Nothobranchius furzeri: one gene and its partner. The protein of the gene in region 1 purifies or fractionates together with the protein of each later gene. This does not show direct contact. Links are inferred from orthologs where the notes say so. Each region holds a gene or a part of one and is shown on either strand. Other genes may lie near its edges.

What was found.
Region 2: the proteins of fbxo21 (region 1) and skp1 purify together in Homo sapiens (affinity purification with mass spectrometry; 6 studies listed by BioGRID and IntAct, with this or other methods). This does not show direct contact. The link is inferred for Nothobranchius furzeri from reciprocal best matches to the Homo sapiens genes FBXO21 and SKP1.

What each region holds. Positions count from the first base shown.
Region 1 is NC_091750.1:34,028,885-34,036,207, reverse strand, and holds the start of fbxo21 (F-box only protein 21), read right to left. Parts: upstream 3,946-7,323; 5' UTR 3,901-3,945; coding exon 3,677-3,900; intron 3,164-3,676; coding exon 3,028-3,163; intron 2,848-3,027; coding exon 2,738-2,847; intron 2,643-2,737; coding exon 2,521-2,642; intron 2,260-2,520; coding exon 2,113-2,259; intron 1,880-2,112; coding exon 1,746-1,879; intron 1,667-1,745; coding exon 1,530-1,666; intron 1-1,529. Other genes in the region: nf2a (NF2, moesin-ezrin-radixin like (MERLIN) tumor suppressor a), read left to right, coding at 5,016-5,129, 5,792-5,917, 6,021-6,143. UniProt on the Homo sapiens protein: Substrate-recognition component of the SCF (SKP1-CUL1-F-box protein)-type E3 ubiquitin ligase complex.
Region 2 is NC_091750.1:60,008,307-60,015,393, forward strand, and holds the start of skp1 (S-phase kinase-associated protein 1), read right to left. Parts: upstream 4,083-7,087; 5' UTR 3,938-4,082; intron 3,345-3,937; 5' UTR 3,342-3,344; coding exon 3,245-3,341; intron 3,094-3,244; coding exon 3,020-3,093; intron 1,276-3,019; coding exon 1,132-1,275; intron 1-1,131. Other genes in the region: ppp2cab (serine/threonine-protein phosphatase 2A catalytic subunit alpha isoform), read right to left, coding at 5,919-5,991, 6,076-6,194, 6,284-6,445, 6,531-6,620, 6,709-6,882, 6,965-7,087. UniProt on the Homo sapiens protein: Essential component of the SCF (SKP1-CUL1-F-box protein) ubiquitin ligase complex, which mediates the ubiquitination of proteins involved in cell cycle progression, signal transduction and transcription.

The DNA of each region.
Region 1 (7,323 bases):
TCCTTTTGTCCACACTCTCTAGCATGGACATCACAGAGAAAGCACACACCTGGTTTGAATCTTACCTCACAGGACGATCATTCTGTGTATCTTGGCTTGGACAATCCTCTACCGTGCACCATCTTGCCACAGGAGTGCCCCAGGACTCTGTACTAGGACCTCTTCTCTTTGCCATATACACCACCTCACTGGGTGAGATCATTCGATCACATGGCTTCTCCTACCACTGCTATGCAGACGACACCCAGCTCTATCTGTCATTTCCACCGGACGACCACACTGTCTCTGCACGAATATCAAACTGTCTCTCTGACATCTCAAAATGGATGAAATCCCACCATCTCCAACTCAACCTCTCTAAAACTGAACTACTTGTCATCCCACCAAAACCATCCATACAACACAATATCTCAATCCAGAATGACTTCCTATCTCTGGCTCCTTCAAAGGCAGTTCGAAATCTGGGTGTTGTGATTGATGAACACCTGACCTTTAAAGATCATGTTGCCTCTGTTGCCCGTTCATGCCGCTTTGCGCTGTATAACATACGAAAGATCAGACCATACCTAACACAACATGCCACCCAGCTCCTGGTGCAATCTACTGTCATCTCCCGCCTCCATTACTGCAATGCCCTTCTAACTGGTCTTCCAGGCCTCTTCAAATGGTCCAGAACGCAGCGGCGCGTCTGGTCTTCAATCAGCCTAAAAGAGCACACGTCACCCCTCTGTTCATTGAGCTCCACTGGCTACCGCTAGCAGCACGCATCAAATTCAAATTGCTAACACTAGCATACAAAGTCCGAGATGGTACGGCTCCCATCTACCTGAATCCTCTTGCAAAGGCTTACGTCTCGGCCCGGCCGCTCCGGTCATCACAGGATGGTCGGCTAGCAGTGCCTACACCACGCTCAGGACAATCCAGACTCTTCTCATGCATCGTTCCACAAATGTGGAATGACCTTCCAAGCACTACCAGAACAGCGGCTTCCTTTTTGATTTTCAAGAAACTCCTGAAGACCCTGCTCTTCAGAGAGCATCTTCTAAACTAGCACCCCCCCTGCACCCGTCCCCCCTCTCTACTGTCCACTCCTTGTTCCCTCCTCTCCATGATTCATCATGCTGCCTCACTGCCACCTACGACTGACTGGAAATTGGTTATTGTTGTTAGCCTCAAGGGCAATATGCCGATTATTACTTGTAAGTCGCTTTGGACAAAAGCGTCTGCTAAATACATAAACATACGTTTTAAAATGTCAAAACTGAGTCAAAAGATGAAAAAAAACAACACTTTGTCTTTTAGCAAATGCTAAAATAACAACCATGTGTCTGTGTGGGTTTCCAGGTGTGTAAACAGTCTGTTGATGTTTTTTCCTCCTCTTATTTTTCTGGTTTTATATCTTTCTTTTATATTTCTGTGGGTATGCATGCCTGTAATTACCTGTATCTGGTACGTCTGAACTTCCTGAAAATAAAGGCCACTTCTATTCTATTCTAATGTGAATTTAATTTAGAAAGATCCAGTCATACTTTCTTGGTTTTTGGCACCAGCGCAGCAGGAAGTGATTGGGAAAGTTGACGGGCTCCAGCTGAACGCCCAGCTTCCGGGCCAGGGTCATGTAAAGAACAGAGAGGCTGATGGGAATGCCAGTATGCCGAAGGAGCACCTAAGTAAAAAGGAAGTGAAAATAGTTTTAAAATAAATGCATTATTGATAATTTAGTGAAAAACCTGTTTAAGGCTGACCTGATGGATGTAAGAATTGAGCGGGTTGTAATAGTCACACTCGTTGCCTTTGTACTGAAGCTGCTCATACAAGACCGAGTTCAGAGCAAACAGCACCTGCCTCTGGAGCTCAAAGTCCTCAATGACATGGTCACCTACAGCACACACAAGACTAAACTCTTAAAAGATGGCTCACACAAAAATCTGTGCAGATTCATGGCTGTTTCAGACTTTGCTGCAGGTGCAAACACAGGTCTTAATGTTTTAAATGTCTAGTTATGCAATAAACTTTCTGCAAAATAAATAAATAAATAAAAAATCTTTGAAAAAAGGCACATATATACAAAGAATAAATCTTTTCTTGTCCTATATTATCTTATAATCTCACCGTTGGCGATGCGAAGACTGGGATGAGATGGATTTTTGATTCTTAGCATCTTCTTTGCCTTTTCTATAATTTCATCTAATTGAACTGAAACACCATCCAGTGTGACGTCTGCCAGTGGGTTACAGTACTGATCCACCAGCACAGCACCTAAAGAGGCAAACAAAACAATCAAAAGTGGTAATAAAAAAGGAAAATGCCCGAACAATGTAACATATTTTCATTCCTTCTAAGCTTTTTTAAAATTATTTTCATATGGTAATTATTACTGCAGGATAATACATTCAGATCTCTGTAAAATAGATATTTATACTACAGACAAAAACAGGACACATGTGTGTAAAACAAGATGTAGCTGAGCTGAGCTGAGGTGCAGCAGAACCCAGCAAACGGTCAGTACTGATGGATCACCTTCCAGAGCTGATTGTTGCTCTGCAGGCTGCTCCAGAAAGGTCTTCAGACTCCTCAAGATGTTCTGCTGTCTCAGGAAGTAAAGGATTTTTCTTGCATAGTATTTCAGTGTCAAGCTTTTCCTAACAGACGGTGGAGAAAGAGACGGACTTTAATGATACAGAAAAGAGGGCGCAATGCAACAAAGGCTTTCATAGCCACACAAAACTGCTCTCACCTCTTGTCGGAGTTGAGTATGAAGAGGAGCTCATCTTCGCAGAAGTGCTCCGGCATCCCGAGTGATTCAATCTCTGCAAAGCTGTCTCCCAACACCTGGCCAACGCAAGGCTGAGTTACAGATCTCTGGGTTAGTTTGCAACATTTAAAAATACATGTTACTGCACAAGCATGCACCCACATACAGACTGGAGGCAACCAGGAACATCTGGATGTAATATATCACATCTTACAGAGTAATCTGATTAGAGTTAACCAAGTTCCAATGTAATGAGAAAACATATTACTTACAACTTCTGTGAAAAATCTTTTTGAAATCGACTCCACAGTCCTTCGTATCTGTATACCGACCCTGTGGCGTGTTTTGTACTCCCTTAGCCAGTCGCAGCTCTCGTTCTGACGGTAAAACCTCTGCAATCTCGGCCATCTGTTGATGCAAAGAGCAGATTTGTTATTTCAGAAACATGCAAGGGTGTTCTGAGAATCAGGCCACTTCCTGCCATAATCGGTGCATGCAGCGCTTTAAAACTGTCCGTCCTCCTGCTGTAGAAGCAGCTGCCTCCTTGCTGAGAGAAAAACCAAGCAGCCAGTGAATGAGCCTGTGCGGTTCCCAGAGATTCAAGGTCAAAGATGATGCTTCTTTTGAATACTCAAAGAAAAACACATTATATGTCACTAGCAAGCTTTATTCCATGTGTCATGGGTGTCTAGAGGGATGCCCGGTACCCGGATTAGCTCAAGGATAAATCTGGTGCATCAGCAGAATGTATTCGCTGACAGTTTCAGTTCGCAGGAAACGAGCTCATGTCAAGTAGGCATTAAAGGGCTTTAGAGCCCTAAACAGGACGGGTAAAATCAGTAACAACATTGTTATCTAACTAAATCCATAAAAAACCAACACAAACCAGAACTAGCATGGATTTTCACACAATCGGAGCACCTTAGTTTGTACTGGTGTTCCCAGACCTTTCCCCTTCCATGGCTAACGTCGTGCAGTCGTTTGCAGCAGCAGGAAACGTTACAAATGTCGACGTGTGTGAGGACAGGGAAGCACAAGATATGTTCAAGCAACTCGGTCGGCAAATATGTCAGTTTTTTAGTTTGGGGCTCGGAAATATTCCCGTTTAGAATCGGTTGCTCCTCTTGGGCTACAGACGTCGCCATTTTTACTGTTTACCCCATTACCTCATCGCTTAGGCACCGCCTCCTTATGGCGCAGGGGCTGGGCTAAGGGCGGGGCATCTGCCACAACCTGCAATATTATTGGTTGTTAAGTTAGAGAGAAAGGCGATGGTGGGACGCTCCTGCTGATGATGCATTCAATGTCCCTGGGAACTAAGCAATTCATTTTACAAAAAGCTGGGTAAACCTTTGACCTAATTTTTGTAAATGCAGAAAAACAAATTGTATCTATCTTATTATTTTCAAAATATACAGAGTAATTTAGGATAGAATGCCATACAATAAGTTAAAGGTAATTAACAAGTCATTGATCCATCCCTTAATTTAGGTGTATTTAGCCATGACGATTTGTAAGGACAATCTACTTACTCTAGAAAATGATCAGATAATTGAAAAACTATTTTAAAATCTGTCGAGCTCATTATAAAATGACAAACATTATAATTTATAATAGTGGCAACATTTTATACAACCTTTGAGAAAAGTTACAAACTCTGATCCCCAAAGTGAGTTTTAAACATTTACACACTTATTACTACATAATAGACAACACGTGAACGCAGCACAGTTTTGGTTAAGATAGCTACAAGTTGTTAGCCACAGGTCGCCTAGCTTTTCGCGTGAAGTCTGTGGATTGAAGGGTTAAACGTTTCTCATACACTTACATGTGTATTAGTAAGACCTTTCCTTTGGAGTCGTGTCAAATTAGAGACAGTCAGACATTTTATTTTGGAAGTGACTAACTTTAGTAAGCTAATTTACTTTTTACTCATCGTTAGCTACCAGCCCAGGACACTGCGGTCTTCTGCTAAACGTGTTTGTGAACGTCTGCTTTTGTTTCAACCAGGGAAAATACAATTAATTGTAAATAATAATGTAATGAGTCATTAGGAGAAGCTTAAAATATGTAGTGAGATATGACTACAGTTATTTAAATGTGCTGAAACGTCACATGCACATCTGTACTTATGTCCAGTAGTTCTCCCATCGCCTGTCTCAGCTTGTTAAGGAAACTGGGAGGAAAAATGTCTTGACCTTTCGGCTTAAAGGGGAGAATCGAAAGTACTTGATTTTGTTAAATCTGTGAACTTATTGCAATGGCAAGTGCCTTGGCAGCAAAAATGGGATTTAACTCCCTGCTGAGAAAACAAGCCAGGAACTTCAGAGTCAGGATCTGCACCATGGAGTCAGAGGAAGAGTTCAACTGCGAGGTAAGTTTAACACGTGCGAGCATATTTTCTGCCACCCTCAGTTAGAAACCCCGAATTGTGTTTCAGCTTTGTGTCTTTAACTGAGTCATTTGTTTACACATAACCACAGATACGACGCAGGAGAAATCTGGATGTTAAACCTGCAGTTCTCGCTCACTGACGCTAGATGGCAGCAAATAACAGAGCATCACCTGAACATGCTTTTAAAAAATGCTTTGTTTTTCTTCTTTTTTGTAGTATTATTAAAATATATCTGTAAATATAGGGTCATTTAGAAATTTATTAGATACATTTACTCCTTGTTTGTACATCTACTATATAGATGTGTTATGTGGTAGGACTGAGTGACTTGCAAGCACCATGTCTGTATTTAAAAGGGAGGAACCGCTCCTTGATTATCGCTTGGGTTTGGTAATTGCAAACAGCTTCATAATGTTAGTTACTGATTTCTATTTTCAGTGTTGGAAGGAGGATTTACTACTGGTTTAGTAAATAATATGTATTTATTTTTAAATGAAATGTGCTGCATGATTAAAAGCCAATTCAAATATAAAGTATTCAGTTTGTATGAGAGGATTCACCAACATTATTTCCTTGGACCTTTAACGTGGTTGCATTTATCATTTTTAATGGCCATTATTTATGATTAATGCATCTTTTAGGTCAAATGGAAAGGAAAAGACCTGTTTGACTTGGTGTGCAGGAGTCTAGGATTATGGGAAACGTGGTTCTTTGGCCTGCAGTACACAATAAAAGACACCGTGGCTTGGCTAAAGATGGAAAAGAAGGTCGATCCAGTGTTTTACTTGTCGTACAACATGAGTGAGCATTTCTTACATTTGCTAGAACCAAAACATTTATTGTGGAGAAACCTTTTCTTCACTGTTTCAGATTTTAGATCAGGAAGTGCCCAACGAGGAGCCCATCACGTTCTTCTTTCTGGTCAAGTTTTACCCTGAGAATATTGAGGAGGAGCTCGTACAAGAAATCACTCAGCGTCTCTTCTTCCTACAGGTAATGAAACATATTAATAAGGAATTGAATGGTGATAATTCATTTCAGTTCAATTCAAAAATACTTTATTGATTCCAGAGGGAAACTGATTGCTGTAGTAGCTCAGAATAATAATAATAATCAAGTCATCAAAGAGTTGTTGTATATTACAATGGCTGTTGGCAGGAAGGATCTGCAGTAGCGGTCAGTGTTGCAGCCAAACTGAAGAAGCCTCTGACTGAAGACACTCTTCCGTTGTCGGACAGTCTTGTGAAGAGAACGCTCAGGGTTGTCCATCATGTTCTTGATTCTCTGGAGAATCCTTCTTTGCATGATCTCCTCCAGCGGTTCCACAGTCGTCCCCAGAACAGAACCAGCCTTTGTTATTAGGCTGTTGAGCCTTTTCAGGTCCCTGCTTCTGATGCTGCTACCCCAACAGACGATGGCTGAAGAGATTACACTCTCAACAACAGACTTGTAGAAGATCTGCAGCATCTTGCTACAGACATTGAAGGACCTAAGCGTCCTCAAGAAGTGCAGTCTGCTGTGTCCCTTCTTGTAAACGGCTTCGCTGTTCTTTCTCCAGTCCAGTCTGTTGTCCAGGTGAACTCCAAGGTGTTTGTATTCCTCAGCCACCTCCACTTCTTCTCCCATGATGGAAACAGTGTTTGACTCCACCCTGTTTCTTCTGAAGTCTAAAATCATCTCCTTTGTTTTGTTCACGTTCAAGGTCAGATGATTGTTTCCACACCATGCCACAAAGCGCTCCACCAGCTCTCTGTACTCAGCTTCCTGTCCATCTCTGATACACCCAACAACTGCAGAGTCATCTGAGTGTTTCTGTAGATGACAGGTCTCTGATTTGTACTGGAAGTCTGAGGTGTACAGGGTGAAAAGGAATGGTGAGAGTACAGTCCCCTGTGGTGCTCCAATGTTACTGATCGCCTGGTTTGATGTGCAGTTCTTCAGCCTCACAAACTGTGGTCTGTTTGTCAGGTAGTCTTTAATCCAGGTGATAGTTGAGGCCCCCACCTGTGTCTTCTGGAGTTTCTGGCAAAGTACATCAGGCTGGATTGTGTTAAATGCACTGGAGAAATCAAAGAACATGACCCTCACAGTGCTGCCTGCTTTGTCCAGATGACCGTGGGTTGGTTGAAGCAGCTGGATGATGGCATCTTCAACTCCAACTCCATGGCGATAA
Region 2 (7,087 bases), about 26 Mb from region 1:
ATCGGAATGGGACATCCCTAGACAGAATACTAGTGATGCACCGATATCATATATCGGCGATATGAAATTTTTTGTGCCGATACCGATATTGGTCGATATCGATATACTGGCATTAATGCTTCTAAAATCAGCAGATTTTGTATAGAATGAAAATTATAAATTATTAAAGCTGGATTTACATTATTATGTACACACACCACACACATTTATGGTTCTGAAATGATTTCATTCACTGTTCACAAGACTAAATTACACATCACCCTCTGAAACAGGCAAACAAATGGGGACAAGATGGAAAAATATCGGTTGTTAATATTGGCCTGGTTTTCTTTATTGAACAGATATGTTAAAAAATAGCTAACATCAGCCGATACCGTTATATTGTCCATCCCTACAGAATACCCAATTACACAAAACTTGACAAAAAAAATTTTTTTTAAAATAATCATCAAACGAGGACGTTTGAAGTAACGGGTGTAAATAAAGATCTGGATCGGAGTTAAGAGAAAACAAGCACTTATATCGTTTGAAGAACATATTCATGGGGCTTTGGGACATTCTGACGTGTTTCTGTGTAACACATCAGTTTTTATCTTACTTCTTGTAGACAGCTTCCTGAAGAGCCTCAGTTTGAAGAAAGTGTTTACGTTTTAACTAATGATGTGCTAAAGCTAATCCAAACACAAGTGGATCGCTAACGTCTCCAAGCTCCTCTTATAAACTACATTTCAAATCAGTTCACATGAATAATTATAGCTGTACAATACAAAATAAGTTGCCTTTTTAAACACTTATTTTATTTATAGTAATGTTTACAGTGAGCGCATTTTAGGCTGAGTGTTATGGAGAGCTGCGGCGAAGAGGTCGGCTGCCAATCAGAATTTGTAGCAGAACTATAAACTATGTGTAATATTTGCAAAAACAACAACTTTTCTGGTTTTGCCTGACCCAAACTTCTAATAATGACCTAAAAACAGAGAGGACATTTTTTCCAGTTGATTCAACCTCAAGAGTTAAGAATTCTGCTGAGGGGTGAAAATCTGTTTAAGGGGTGCGGGAAAAGCATCAATTTCAATGTAGCTAACGCATTTAGCAGCAAAATAAGAATAATGTTTAATGAAACATATTTACCAGAATGAGTTCAAACAAGGTGCCTTGGTCCACTTTGAGGAACTCCTGGTCCCAGACGGGAATGTCGTCCGTCCTTTTCTCTTTGTTCTCATCATCCTCGGGAGGAGGAGGATCATCTTTGTGATGAGTGCACCACTGAATCACCTAAAGGGGAAAACATGTTTATTCTTAACTGAAACTACATAATTTTATACATTCGTGTTAAGATTTACGCAGACAGAAACATGTGCACAACATTCCCCCGTGATGAAGGAATTTTGAGATCTTCTGCTGAGGTGCATCTACACGTACAGTTTTACCTTTATCTGGATTAAAGGAGCGTGTCAGTTGATTTGGCAGGACAGAACATAACAAAGACAGACTGAGCATCCTCTTAATAAGTTATATAGGGCTGCCATGATTAGTCGACTCGTCACAACATCAACAAACAAAATACTCGACTACTAATTTAATAGTGGATGCATTATTTATTCTGTGACCATTAATTTTAATCTCGCCTGCTGCGGCACATTCGGCGGTTGCTTCCTGACTTTCTGCTCAATGCACATGCGCATTAGTCCCCATCCGGGTCAGTGGCTGTTTTCAGCTCCGAGGCGCATTCGCAGTAGTGGCCATCCAGATCAGCCTTCGTCACCGGAGAAAGAAGACATAGCGAGTCGGCAACATAGCTCAAAAGTTTTGGAGTATTATACATAGACTAAGGAAAGCACATAGTGCAAACTCTGCAAAGGGAAACTCTCCTTTCACGGGAGCACATCGGCGATGCATGAGCACCTTACAAGGAAGCACGTCATGGCAGAGAATAAAGAGTCGCCTCTCTAAGTTTACCTCTTTAGCTGCTAGCATCAACAGAGAGTTACTTGTAGTTATAGGTGTAGCAACAGCAGTAGCGGTGGCTATTTTTATTACCATTAGATCACGTTTGTATGTCACGTATTTTTGCTCCAATTACAAACGATAATGATTTCATCCCGCTACGCTACAGTGTTAATAAAAATGCTCCTCTTCAATGGACGAGTTGGTTACGTGAACACCTCAGCAAGCTAACGTCCTGACCATGTTGGTCATGAGACTCCTGTCCATGGTCGGTGATCGAGGTTTCAAAAAGATGATCAAGGATACCACGACAACTACCTACCAGGCTGATGCCCATTCACCAGCATGATGGAAAAGAAATACGAAACAACCTTTAAGGTGTGCGCGCGTGTTCAAGTCTTAGTCTCTTTCTCTCTGGACACAAATAATTATTGGAATTTAATGTGTTTTATGATCAAATAAAAAGGTTGCTGACTGAGCAATCAGGAACCTAATATTGGTGCATAATACAGTTTACATGTGTTGAATTTTAATCTACTTTGTTTTATAACAGAATTATTAATTTGGTAAATAAACTAAATTTAATATCTTTACAATAAAGCAGACCCTCAAAGCTGTCGATGATCCCCTGACTGCTGACGGGTGTACCAGCCATGCTACAGAGGCGCACCTTGATGTGCCCTGCTATTTCCTGAGTTAAGATTAGAATACATTTTGCGAACACAAGTAATTTTTTGTAGACAATTTATTTTTGGTTTTAGGTGCCTACCTCCATTTGACTGTAGCATTTGTATTAATAAGTTATGAAGTTAATTAAAAGTTTATTATTAGATGGCACATAACGGATTAAACTTCAAACTAGAAGCTAATGATGGGTATATTAGAGCAGCCTGGTGCAATAACCTATAGTTTTTTTTTTGAATGACACGATTAGTCAACTATTGCGGTATACCCAACTGTCACGGTGAAATCCAGAAATCAAATAAAAACCAATCACTTTTCTCCCATCGACTGATGTGAAACAAATCTGATGACTCTGCTGTTGTCATTGTGACAGCTGTGCGTTCTGTACCTTCTTCAGGATAGCCGCGTTCACATTAGGAAGGGGAACTGGGTCATCATCTCCTTCATCGTCCATTCCCAAGTCTGACCACACACACAAAAAAAAAAAACGTTAAAATTCAGCCTCAACCCAAACGATCTTTACTGTTAATTAAAAAAACTGATAACTCTTTTTACGTCAGTTATAAACTCACAAAATCAAGTTTGAACGTTTGAAATGAACAGAACATTTTACCTTCCAACATGGTCTTGATGGTGACGGATTGTTTGGCTATCTCAACGTCTACCTCGAAAATTTCCCCATCAGAACTCTGTAGTTTTATCGTGGGCATTTTCTGGAATGAACAATAATATTCATTCAGTGCATTTACTGCTAATTTTGCGACAATAGCAGACGTAATCCGCGACGAATTGTCTCAATTACCAAACTAAGCTAGCAAACAACAAGCTAACGAAAAGCTAACATACAATTAGCTCTTTGTATAAACAAAAGCTATTGATTTGATAAATAATACCTATCATAAGACTTGCCAGATGCACTTGTGTGTTCATACTGAATAAATACCACCTGTTGTAAATCTAATTTATTTGAGAAGCGCTAATGCCCAAGCTAACGATGACACAAGCTACAAGACGGAAATGCTAAAGTTAGCTAGTTTCCGTGTGCTTAAAAGAAAAATACATTGAAAGATGTTCGCTATTACAAATAATGGTAAACAAATACATGTTAATCACAGGCGAGACAATCAATTGTGTCTAAAATGTATGTCACAAAGCTTAAATCTTGACTCTTCGTTTCGCCAGCTCTTTGCTGTCAGCTAGGCCTCTTTGCTACATCATCGAGGCGTTTCAAATTGACGCATAAACCTGACGTGAAAATCTATTTAAACCTAACTTTATCAGGTCACCAGAACATGAAGCTACATACCGTGATTATTTAACAAAAACTCAAAGGTTATATATCCTTAGGAGTCCGTTGGAAGGCCTAGACTTTAAGTGACGAACAGCGGCTAAAAGCCTCTGGATCAACCTTTTCCGCTGTATGGCAATCCGTTGTAACATATAATCATGTTAATGCCCTACAATTTTTTTATTTGTTCTAAACAAAACAGCATTTTCATTAATTACATTTAAAATGTCTGTACAAGTTAAACCGTGATATTATTTAATTCTTGCAGAATACATTATAAAGTAAGGTGATCAAAACGTGCCAAACATAAGCTATTAAACGTAAATACGTATATGTCGATGGTAAATACCAGTTGTCTTGTCCCACAGTGTATATTTAGTAAGGTAGATACTTAACAACACTTAAAAGCAAGCAAGTGCCGATTTCCTTTAAACAACCCCAGTACAATTCCGATTTTATATGATAAATTGGCTTCCCTTAACAACATGTGCTAATGAAGGGAGCACAGCAGGGCCGAGCTCAAATCGTGGCGGTGGCTACCAGTCAGCATCGCTTCTTGTTTACCTAGCTCAGATTTTATTTTGATTGTCTCATCTCGAACCACTTTGATTTTAAATCAGAATTTGTGTTATAAAAAGACAAATACTTTGTCTACATGGAACAAATAAGCTCTTTTGTGATAACAGTGACTTGTCTTGTGCTATTCTATTTTTTTTAATAAAAATAAAATGATCACTTTCTATGTGTATCTTTCATTATAAATCTCTCTGTCAGTGTACCAATAACAATTTAAAGTACATGACTCCTTTTGACAACAGACTACACAAATCATTCATTTATTGTATATGGCATGGTGGTGCGGTAAGAAAAATTTATGTCATATATCAAATACAAAATAATATTTAAAAATATTAAATTTAAATATATTTATTTTTGAAAATGTGTAAGTCTAATTTATTAGTTACACTTTGTGAAGAGATAACAGGAAGCACTAGGGTCAGTGCCTGCGATTGTCTATGTGTGGTGTCGTGCCTATTCACAACCACAGGGTGGCGTATTTCCCCTTTTTTCCGGCAGATGCGACTTGTTTCCAGCAGGATCCAGGCTGGCTTAGATTGCTCTGGAAAAACTTAATAAAATTGCATTTATGCGCCTTTTATTTGAAATAACACAATTCTCAACATTAAGTTTGCTTGTTTTGGGCAATTGATACTTCTGTTCTCAATACAATCTAATATTATGGAGCACAATAATTTAAATTCACATTTAAATAAATGTATTTTTTATGTCTTCGCCTTGCTGTGTCAGTGTAATTACAACTGGCCAGAGAAATCCAAATATAACTAGACTTTTTACAAGAATGAAGAATAACCAAAAACACAATTCAAGAAGTCATCTTTATTATTCTAGTAGGTTATTATAGAGTCTGAAGCTAAAAGGAAGCAGGTGAGTTGATGAACACTCCATCTTTTCTATAAACCAAGCCATCTGACTGCATGAGAAGGGATTTTCCTAAAACATACACAGGTCAAAAAAAACTGAAGGTTTACATGCAATTTAAAAATAAACAACAAAAAAACTATCAATATCGTGAAATCGTATTAATCTTTTTGACATATTTAACATTTCTTTAACTGTACAAAAGTGCAAACAAATCACATTCAAATCTCAAAAACCATGGTCTGCAGTAGCAAATTAGTCTTGGACTTTGGTGCCGTCAACCCAGCTCCATATGTACAGGAGGAGGAGCCGAGACATCCAGGATGTTCTATTTTGTCATTTCAGATACAATAAATATTTAAGTGATCATGGCACACACCTTTTGGTCCGTTTATAGACACATTTGCTTTTGCGAAATGCTTTAACTAGATTGGATAAACACAACGTGCAACACTGCAGCCTCTCAGGCCTCCATCACGTTGTTTTCAGTTCAAAGTCAGATAGGTTGGTGGTTCTGGACAGGACCGGACCGGACCGTGCGCGGGTCGAGACTGCAGGTTTACAAGAAGTAGTCTGGGGTGCGGCGAGTTACATGGGGCTCTCCTCTGCGAGGCGCTGGATCAAACTGCAAGCTGAGGAGGAACATCAGGAAGAAAAAAAATCACAACTTATTCTAAGATTTCTTTGTCCACTCGTGATGAAATTCGCCTGCTTACAAAGAGTATTTGAGGGTGTCGTCTAGCTCCATGATGGCTGCCTGGTTTCCACAGCGATAGCAGTAGTTAGGAGCACTAAAAATGGTCACCACGTTCCTCTCATGGCACCAGTTGTAGCCCTGAGGTAAGCAGATGTAATATTAACACGCATCTGAACTTAGCGGCACTGCTTCTTTGTTTTTAATCATCTTTGGACACAAAGACAAACCTCCATGACCAGCTGATGGGCGCGGGACACCAGCGTGAGGCGGTTGGCGTGGTTGAACGTTTCAGAGATGTCCTGACCAAATGTGTAGCCAGCTCCTCGGGGAGAGATGCCCCAGCCGCCGCGGTCGTCGGGGTCTGACCACAGCAGGTCGCACATGGGACCCTGCGTGACAACGAGAATGGTCACAAACGTTTTTATCTTTATTGTTTCGTTGCTGATCTGCACCACATTTAACGTCTTTCTTTACCTCGTGCGGCACTTCCTGTAAACGATCCAGAGCTCTGATGTGATCCAGCGTGTCTATAGACGGTGATAAGCCCCCGTGGAGGCAGAAAATCTGAGGAAAAAAAATCGATAATTATAACAAATTATGATGCTTTTCAAAGAAACGTCAAGTTCGGTCTTTTTTATTACGCTCCTCTCACCTGAGAGTCTACCAGCGCAGTGAGGGGGAGGTAATCGAACAAGTCTGTGAAGTATTTCCAAACGTTTGCGTTTCCGTATTTCCTTAAGCACTCGTCGTAGAAGCCGTAGACTTGTGTGATCTGTCTGCTCTCGTGGTTCCCTCTGAGGATCGTGATGCGCTCCCGGAAGCGAACCTGAAACACAAACATCTGTTTACGTCGCGTTTTTCACCCCAAAGAGGAAAAAAAAACTGTTTTAAATGTCTGACAAAGTCACCTTAAGAGCTACAAGTAATGTGACGGTTTCTACAGAGTAGTACCCTCGGTCCACATAGTCCCCCATGAACAGGTAGTTTGTGTCCGGCGATTTCCCACCGATCTTGAACAGCTCCATGAGGTC